2 linked regions of the Arabidopsis thaliana genome follow. The protein of the gene in region 1 interacts with the protein of each later gene in a pairwise test. Each region holds a gene or a part of one and is shown in the gene's direction. Other genes may lie near its edges. The genes, in order: AT3G49910 and CSP3.

Evidence for each region.
Region 2: the proteins of AT3G49910 (region 1) and CSP3 interact in a two-hybrid assay, tested with the Arabidopsis thaliana proteins (one study listed by BioGRID).

What each region holds. Positions count from the first base shown.
Region 1 is NC_003074.8:18,502,228-18,506,199, forward strand, and holds AT3G49910 (Translation protein SH3-like family protein), read left to right. Parts: upstream 1-1,936; 5' UTR 1,937-2,083; coding exon 2,084-2,524; 3' UTR 2,525-3,163; downstream 3,164-3,972. Other genes in the region: AT3G49900 (Phototropic-responsive NPH3 family protein), read right to left, coding at 23-92, 212-387; VDAC5 (voltage dependent anion channel 5), read right to left, coding at 3,609-3,915.
Region 2 is NC_003071.7:7,762,941-7,767,048, reverse strand, and holds CSP3 (cold shock domain protein 3), read left to right. Parts: upstream 1-1,772; 5' UTR 1,773-1,867; coding exon 1,868-2,773; 3' UTR 2,774-3,521; downstream 3,522-4,108. Other genes in the region: AT2G17860 (Pathogenesis-related thaumatin superfamily protein), read left to right, coding at 4,031-4,108.

The sequences.
Region 1 (3,972 bases):
TAAAAGCTTGAAAATATGTAACCTTGTGAAGATGGAACCTTGTGCCTCCCACATTTACGAATACATCAGGTTTAGAGTTATTAGCCAACGACCTGAATAAAAATATAGAAAAAACACCCAAAAAAAAGAGAAATTATAATTTGGTAAAGATTTTTCTACCAAAAAAAAAAATGTGGTAAAGATTTGGTAAATTTTCTAAGAGAAACATTACCATTTATGGACTCGAGATTCAAGCTCCATTGAAGGAGAAGAAGAGAGATTGATAGGTTGTTTAGGAGAAAGAGACAAAGATGAAGAAGAAGAAGATAAAGAAGAAGAGTGATGATCTACGTAGTCTTCGTCTTCATAAATCGTATCAACAAACCCTAAGTTTGTCCATCGCTTCATGTCTTTTTTTCCGAGAGAGAAGAGATCAAAGAATGAGAATAATTTGTGTGAGTTTTGAGAAGATTCGAATTCGCCGGTTAGGTTTTAGTATCAAGAAGAGAAGGAAATTTTGGACAGTGAATGGGCAATAAATGTGAGTAATATGGGAAATAAATGAATTTAAGAGGATTTGTTGTGATCGTTATTATATGCGTGAAAGTCTTTAAATGCGTTTTTCCTTTTTCTTCACCATAAACCTTCTAGTTCATATAGAGGGACCACGTCCCACATGTTCTCCAAAATGTACATTCGTTCTAACATTCAAATTTCACGAGATTTCATTTAGGTTTAAATTGAGCTTAAATTGTTGTGTATATATAGTACTAGTGCAAGTTTGATCGGTTATTTTTCTTTACTAATTGACATACTTGTCGTTGTCGTAAAAAACATGGATTGTTTATTTGTTTATATCAATTTGTTTGCACCAACCACCACAAGAAAATTAGTTTTGATCGGCCAGTTTAATACAAAGTCCACTTCATATGATACTTATTTCTTTCATAATTTGTTAGCCCCTCTGATTATTATTATGTACAACATCATTATTTTGCTTGAAAATATATATATCCAAGAGTCTTTGGAAGTCCTTGTTCAAACATTGGCAATGGGTTCTAAAATGTAAGAGTTTCGACCTGAGATTTTCTCCGGGATGTATATCACATTATAGTTATGAATGTCTAATATATTGTATAAAAACATACTGATATAATAATAATAATAATTTTCTAATTATTTTATTTATTTTCCTGATGTCTCAAATCCAAGGTATCATTTGAAAACTACAATTTGACCTGCAAAATGAAAAAGCTCAAAGAAATCATGAAACAAGACAAGAAACCGAAACATATCAAAAGATTAAGATCAATGACGCAAAAGATTCGCTATCGATGAAAGGAGCGAAACCATGAAGCAAGATAGGTTGTAGATGAACTAGGAAAGGTTGAAGATGGACTAATTTTGTACTGGAAAAGGTGACGGTATAGACCTGTAAGCTTGAATTTCCTTAACAAGTAACCGAGCCGGTTTGGAGACAGTAGTGTGAAGCCTTGCATTTCTTTCTCTCCACAAAGTGTAAACAGCTGCTTGAAAAATAATTTTTTTGTTAAATTAATATTAATTTTTTGAATATAATGTTAAATTAAATATATAAAAATAACGTTTTTACAACTAGTGCATCGTGTTTTTGAAAATCGAATCTAAAAAGGCAGAATATATGAATTGAAACACAACTCTATTTAAATTAATATATCATCCAAACGTTATGCTTTTGTTTCTCTCAAAAATAAAAGTTCTAAATTGCATGATACAAAACTTCTCTAAATTGCATGATACAGCTAGCCTATTACAACATGAGAATACCAACTATATCAGTGTAGTCGTTTTGTTTTTACCTCTTTCGCTAAACTGATTGCATCCAAGAATGAATTAACTTTTACTAGGCCAGAAGTGTAGCTAACATAGAAGAGGCCCATTATAAAACTCTTTAAAATCAAAATCTAAAACAGGCCCAGCCCATTCATAACAAAGCCCTAATATATCGAGTAAACCTAGCTCCACTCAAAACCTAACTATATAACCTTCACACACACTCATAACCTCTTCCTCATCCCCTTAAAAAACCCTAAGAGTAGAGACTCTCTCAATCCCGGCGGCGAAGATGAAGTACAACCCAAGAGTGACCTCTTCTCGCAGAAAGAACAGGAAGGCTCATTTCACAGCTTCCTCCAGCGAGAGGCGTGTGATAATGAGCTCTCCTCTCTCCACCGATCTTCGTCAGAAGTACAATGTCAGATCCATGCCGATCCGTAAAGACGACGAGGTTCAGATCGTTCGTGGTACTTACAAGGGACGTGAAGGCAAAGTTGTTCAGGTTTACCGTCGCAAATGGGTGATTCACATCGAGAGAATCACGAGGGAGAAGGTGAATGGAACAACCGTGAACGTTGGGATTCAGCCGTCGAAAGTTGTGATAACGAAGCTTCGTCTTGATAAAGATAGGAAATCGCTTTTGGAGAGGAAGGCTAAGGGACGTGCTGCTGCTGATAAGGAGAAGGGTACTAAGTTTACGTCTGAGGATGTTATGCAGAACGTTGATTAAGTAAGAAGGAAGAAGAAATCTTCTTGAAAGGTTTTATCTTTTAGAGTTATCTTCAATCGCTTTTTAATTTTCAAGTTTTGGATATTTTGGAATGTTGTCAGTGGATCTTTATGGTGCTAGACATGAGAACTTATGTTTTGATTTTGAGTATTTGAAGTTTGGTTATGGAAGTTTATCTCTTTGTCTCATTCTTTATAATGATGTGTTTGTTTGGTTTAGCTTTTGATTATGTGTTGGATGTGTGTTGAGATTGGTGTTGAACTCCTGATTTGACATAGGAGTCTTGCGTTTATCAGTCTATTGCAGTAGAATTGATGATATTGGTCATTTATGTGGTGACTTAGTTGAAATGATTCTCTAGAGTAGTGTTCTTGGTTTAGGTTATTTCGTTTGATAGTGGGGGTTCCATTTTTCGACAGTGGTTTTCATTTTTGAACATATTGGAATGACGAGTTTGTGTCTTTAAACGACATATCAATTTATCAGACCAATCCTTTCGTCTCTTCACACTTATCTCTGCAATTTTGTGTTGTCTAAGACGTTTGTGGTATAGGTTGAGTTCGAACTTGGTGGTTTTCAATTGTAATTTTTTGTTTGGCATAAGCATTACTGTGGATTTAAAAGAATTGCCACTCTGATTAACAGCAAATCATTTCATTTCTATGAAACTGATTCTTTCTCATTACCTTAAAAAATAGTCGTTTCCTCGAGAAAAAAGATAGAACTAAAAAAACATATCTCAAATGCAATTATCCGACTGAACAGTTTTCACATTTGATGTACATGTGTAGAAGACCTATCTCTGATTCTTTTCCAACTTGAGTCTTTGATTGATTCTAGTTTCACATAAGGTTTGTTTCTCTTAACAAAACAATAAAAAAAAACTCTCAGAAAAGAGCGATATAACTGTTCCTATTAAGCGTGAGCCCCAAAAGAAACAAATCCGAAAAAGAATTATCAGAAATAAGGAGATTAGCCGAGGGATTCATTATTCAATAACCAACTCAACTCTAAACAATGTCATAGGAGACAGAAAGGGTAGTCTCCATTGTTAAACCTAACTTCCATTGGTATGTGTAGCTCTTCAAGGTTTAAGGGAAAGCGAGAGACCTAACCTTGGGTACTTGTCTAATGTCTTGGTATCAATCTCACCTGAGATTGTCACTATCGATTTTGGAAGGCCCTCGTGTTGCAGAAGAGCTCCAAACTTACCGTTACTGTTCAGCTTAGCTTTCACATTCGTTAAGTGATCAACCGCATACAATCCACCAACAGTTACTGTTGTCTCATTAGTTGAGATTTTCCTGATAACCTCTCCAACTGTTGCGCTTCTCGTCGACTCATCTAGGTAATATACATAAGAGGCTTTGATCGAATCTCCTTTATCTCCCCTGAGATTTTCCAAGAAAAGATTCAGAATATATTAAGAACAGCTCGATAGAACTTTG
Region 2 (4,108 bases), on another chromosome or scaffold:
CGCGTTTTTAGCCTTTGTATCCATAAGTAGTAAGTAGTCTGTATTTAGTATTTACCATCTAATAAAGAAAATAAAAATTTATGTATAACTTAAAGTGTTCCAACTTAGCAATCAATAGTATGTAGCCTTGGAGAAACAGATTTTTTTTGTTACAGGTAAGATTTACATACTGAAATCATATAGCATTCTTAGAAAATTTTAGTTGTATTATGTTGTAGTCACCTAATTTAAAAAGCTGGGAGTGTTTTTTTTCTAGTCGCACAATCAGCCGACATCGACAATAAAAGAAAAGAAGATCTATGTCAAATAGTAACAAAAATACATAAATACATATATATGTAAAGATTTTAATACTGTTGCGGTGCGGTTTTGGGTGTGGTCTATGTTACCATTCATGGTCTTAGTCTATCGAAAGTTCGATAACGTTGTTTGCCTTGGTGGCAGTGAATTTTTTCCTGTCACGCGACTGTGAAAAGAGTAATTTTTAGAGACGTTACAATCGCATATCGTGAATTCCGATGTATGTGATATGTGTATGTGGAGGGTTACTGAGAGTTTTTTCTATGGGCGTTATAAACATTTTTAGTTTGAACGTTGTGCAATCAACTAGGTATGCATGCATGGGTTAATTTTATGATTCTAATTTTTTTGGGTAAAAGTTATATAAATAACGGTATTTCAAAGAGTTAACATTGGGTCAAATTTCTTGCTCAGAATTTCAGAGTTATACTAACATGACGTTTATGATGATAATAATTATAGTCAATTTAAATTGCCTTCACCAGGGCCACCAAAATAGCTAAGCAAATACGACAGACAAGGTTCTTTTCTTCTCGTCATCATAATCCATGTGTCACTCTTGTTTCAACATGCCATGTTCTGGAACATTTGCATCTCACGAATCTTTCATAATATTTACAAAAAAAAACTCATATTCTTTTCACATATATATAACTATTTTAAATGTGAACAAAAAAAAAGTAATTATAAATTCACTATTGTCATTAAAAGAAAAATAAATAAAAAAAGGAACTCTTGTCATTTTCTTAAGTATAGCATTGTCATGACAAAAGCTATGCTGTCCATAAACAATGGGAAGCAGAAGATTGTTGATGTTCGACACCATACATTATCAAAATATATAATATATATATATATATAATAGACGATAGATATCCAATAATTAGTTTAAGTAATTGGGATGTTCTTTTTTTCTTGCTTCTAGAAGAAAATATGATCGAATCATTTTTTTCTTCACAATTGAACTTCGGATAATATCATCCATGTATTGGTTCATTGAATTAAAAAAGTGAGCTGGGATATTGAAAATTTGGATGCAAAATAAGTTGCATAAAAATAGATATAATATCAAAATATAATATATTGTTTAGATAAAACAACCAAAAGTGTGAAACACTTTCTCTTCTAGTAGAAGTATAACATAATAATCTAAATCATGTCATATTTACTTTAGATTTACTATGAATATCCCTTTCTTTTTGCAAAAAGTGATAATTATAGACTGCATTTTCATCCAATTCCCAGAGTTTGGGGATGGTTAAGAGATGATAAAACATCTCAAGCATTTTTTTTAAAGTTAGTGTGAAATCAAACCTTATCAATTTTGCTTAGTTCTTTTGAAACTCTTACATAAATAGGCCCATTTCATTATGTGAACCATGGGCCTGATCCAAAATGCACACGTGGTAACTGCCGCCGATAGAGAAGGAGCTGACGTGGCGAATTTAAGGTCAATTTGGGGTTAATAGATCTAGCAAGTAGCAATTTAGGGTTTTCATTTTACCCATTTCCTCTCTTTGTACGAACAAAGTGCTTCGAGTTTTTGTTAACCTTTTTCTCTGATCTAATGGCGATGGAAGATCAATCGGCGGCGAGATCTATCGGAAAAGTTAGTTGGTTTAGCGATGGAAAAGGCTACGGTTTCATTACTCCCGATGATGGCGGCGAAGAGCTTTTTGTTCATCAATCCTCAATTGTCTCCGATGGATTCCGTAGCTTGACTCTTGGTGAATCGGTTGAATACGAAATCGCGCTTGGAAGCGACGGAAAGACTAAGGCCATTGAAGTTACTGCTCCCGGCGGCGGTTCACTTAATAAGAAGGAAAACAGCTCCCGTGGATCCGGAGGTAATTGTTTTAATTGCGGTGAGGTTGGTCATATGGCTAAGGATTGTGACGGTGGAAGTGGTGGGAAAAGCTTTGGAGGTGGTGGTGGTCGTAGATCTGGCGGCGAAGGTGAATGTTACATGTGTGGTGATGTGGGACACTTCGCTAGGGATTGTAGGCAAAGCGGTGGTGGAAACAGCGGCGGAGGAGGAGGAGGTGGTCGTCCGTGTTACAGTTGCGGTGAGGTTGGTCATTTGGCAAAGGATTGTCGTGGTGGTTCTGGTGGAAACAGATACGGAGGAGGTGGTGGTCGTGGATCTGGCGGTGATGGATGCTACATGTGTGGTGGTGTGGGACATTTCGCTAGGGATTGTAGGCAAAACGGCGGTGGAAACGTTGGAGGTGGTGGAAGCACTTGTTATACCTGTGGCGGAGTTGGCCACATTGCGAAAGTTTGCACCAGCAAGATACCTTCTGGTGGTGGTGGTGGTGGTCGTGCTTGTTACGAATGTGGAGGAACTGGCCATTTGGCTCGTGACTGTGATCGGAGAGGAAGTGGAAGCAGCGGAGGTGGCGGTGGCAGTAACAAGTGCTTCATCTGCGGCAAGGAAGGTCACTTTGCGAGGGAATGTACTTCGGTTGCTTAACAAAAAGATGCAAAGAAGAAGAGTAATGTTCATAAACCTCTTTTGTTTTCTATTAAAATCTACCTAATGCTCCTTTTTGGTGACTATAATGTGATTGCTAAAGTCGTTTAGGATGTTTAAGAATGGTTGTTTTGGGAGTTTTTGATCTCTCTATATTACTCTTTTGACTGGTTTATGCAACCTGTTCACTGCTTTTGTTGATGCCATAAGTTTGAGATCTTGAATGATATGTGTGCTTGCTTATTTACAGTTTCTTGTCTTTCCTTGCAATGAGTGTGATTGTATGACTTGAAAATTCAATCTGTTATGGTCACTTCTGTTATATACCAAGATTTGAGACTTTTTTTTACTAACTTGTAAATACAAAGAGATGAGTCACAAGTCTTTCTTGGTTCCTCTTTGTTGGAGAGCTTAAAGATTTTCCTGTAACTGGTTTACTTATACTCTGCATTGCTGTTTTTCTTGTTCTTGATGAAACAGAGATATTAGCTTAAGAATAATCTTTTGATATTTTAGATTACTTAGATCTTGTTTTAGGAGAATCTCCTGAACAGAGGAGAGACATGGTGTGCGTGATCTTGTAGTGCCTATGCCTGTTCGTCAGTTCGTGGTTTCTTTTTCTCTACTTACCGTGATGTTTTAAGAAGATGATGAAGTTAATCCCGTTAGTTTTTTTTAACCTAATTACACTTGTGATTAGCTGAATCTTTCGGATATAAACATTTGGATCCCACGTGTTCTGTTATTGGAAGTGACTTGATCTTTCTTAACATATACAAAGACAAGCTTCTAATGTCCAACACCTCCTTTATTTCCGTTAATACAAAATCCCACCAATTCCAGTACAATTAACTTACTACACAACACCATACATGTCTCTTTCCTATCAAAGTCTTTAAACTAAATAACTTTTTCCTTAACAAACAAAAGAGAGCTTTTTCCTCCTCTAACCTTTATCTAAATTTCTAGTTTTGAATTTAGGAAGAGATCCTCAACAAATAGTTATAAAAAAAAAATGTATAATTTTCGAAAAGGATAACAAGTATACTAGCTTGATTCGTAATTTCCATTTCACAAGTATTAATGAGAATATTGAAATAAAGGAAATGATGAGTGAACATGTATCGGATTCTGTAATGGCAAAACTCATATAGGGAAAATTGATATTATGAAACTTTCCATAACACAAATCCCCGATTCTCTTATATAAACACGATCCCTAACTTCTCCTGAATCATACAACATCAAACGGTAACAATGGATTTGGCTAAAGTCTCTTGCTTTCTCTTAGCGATTATGTTTTTCATCAATGGTGGTTCCTCCACCACGTTCACC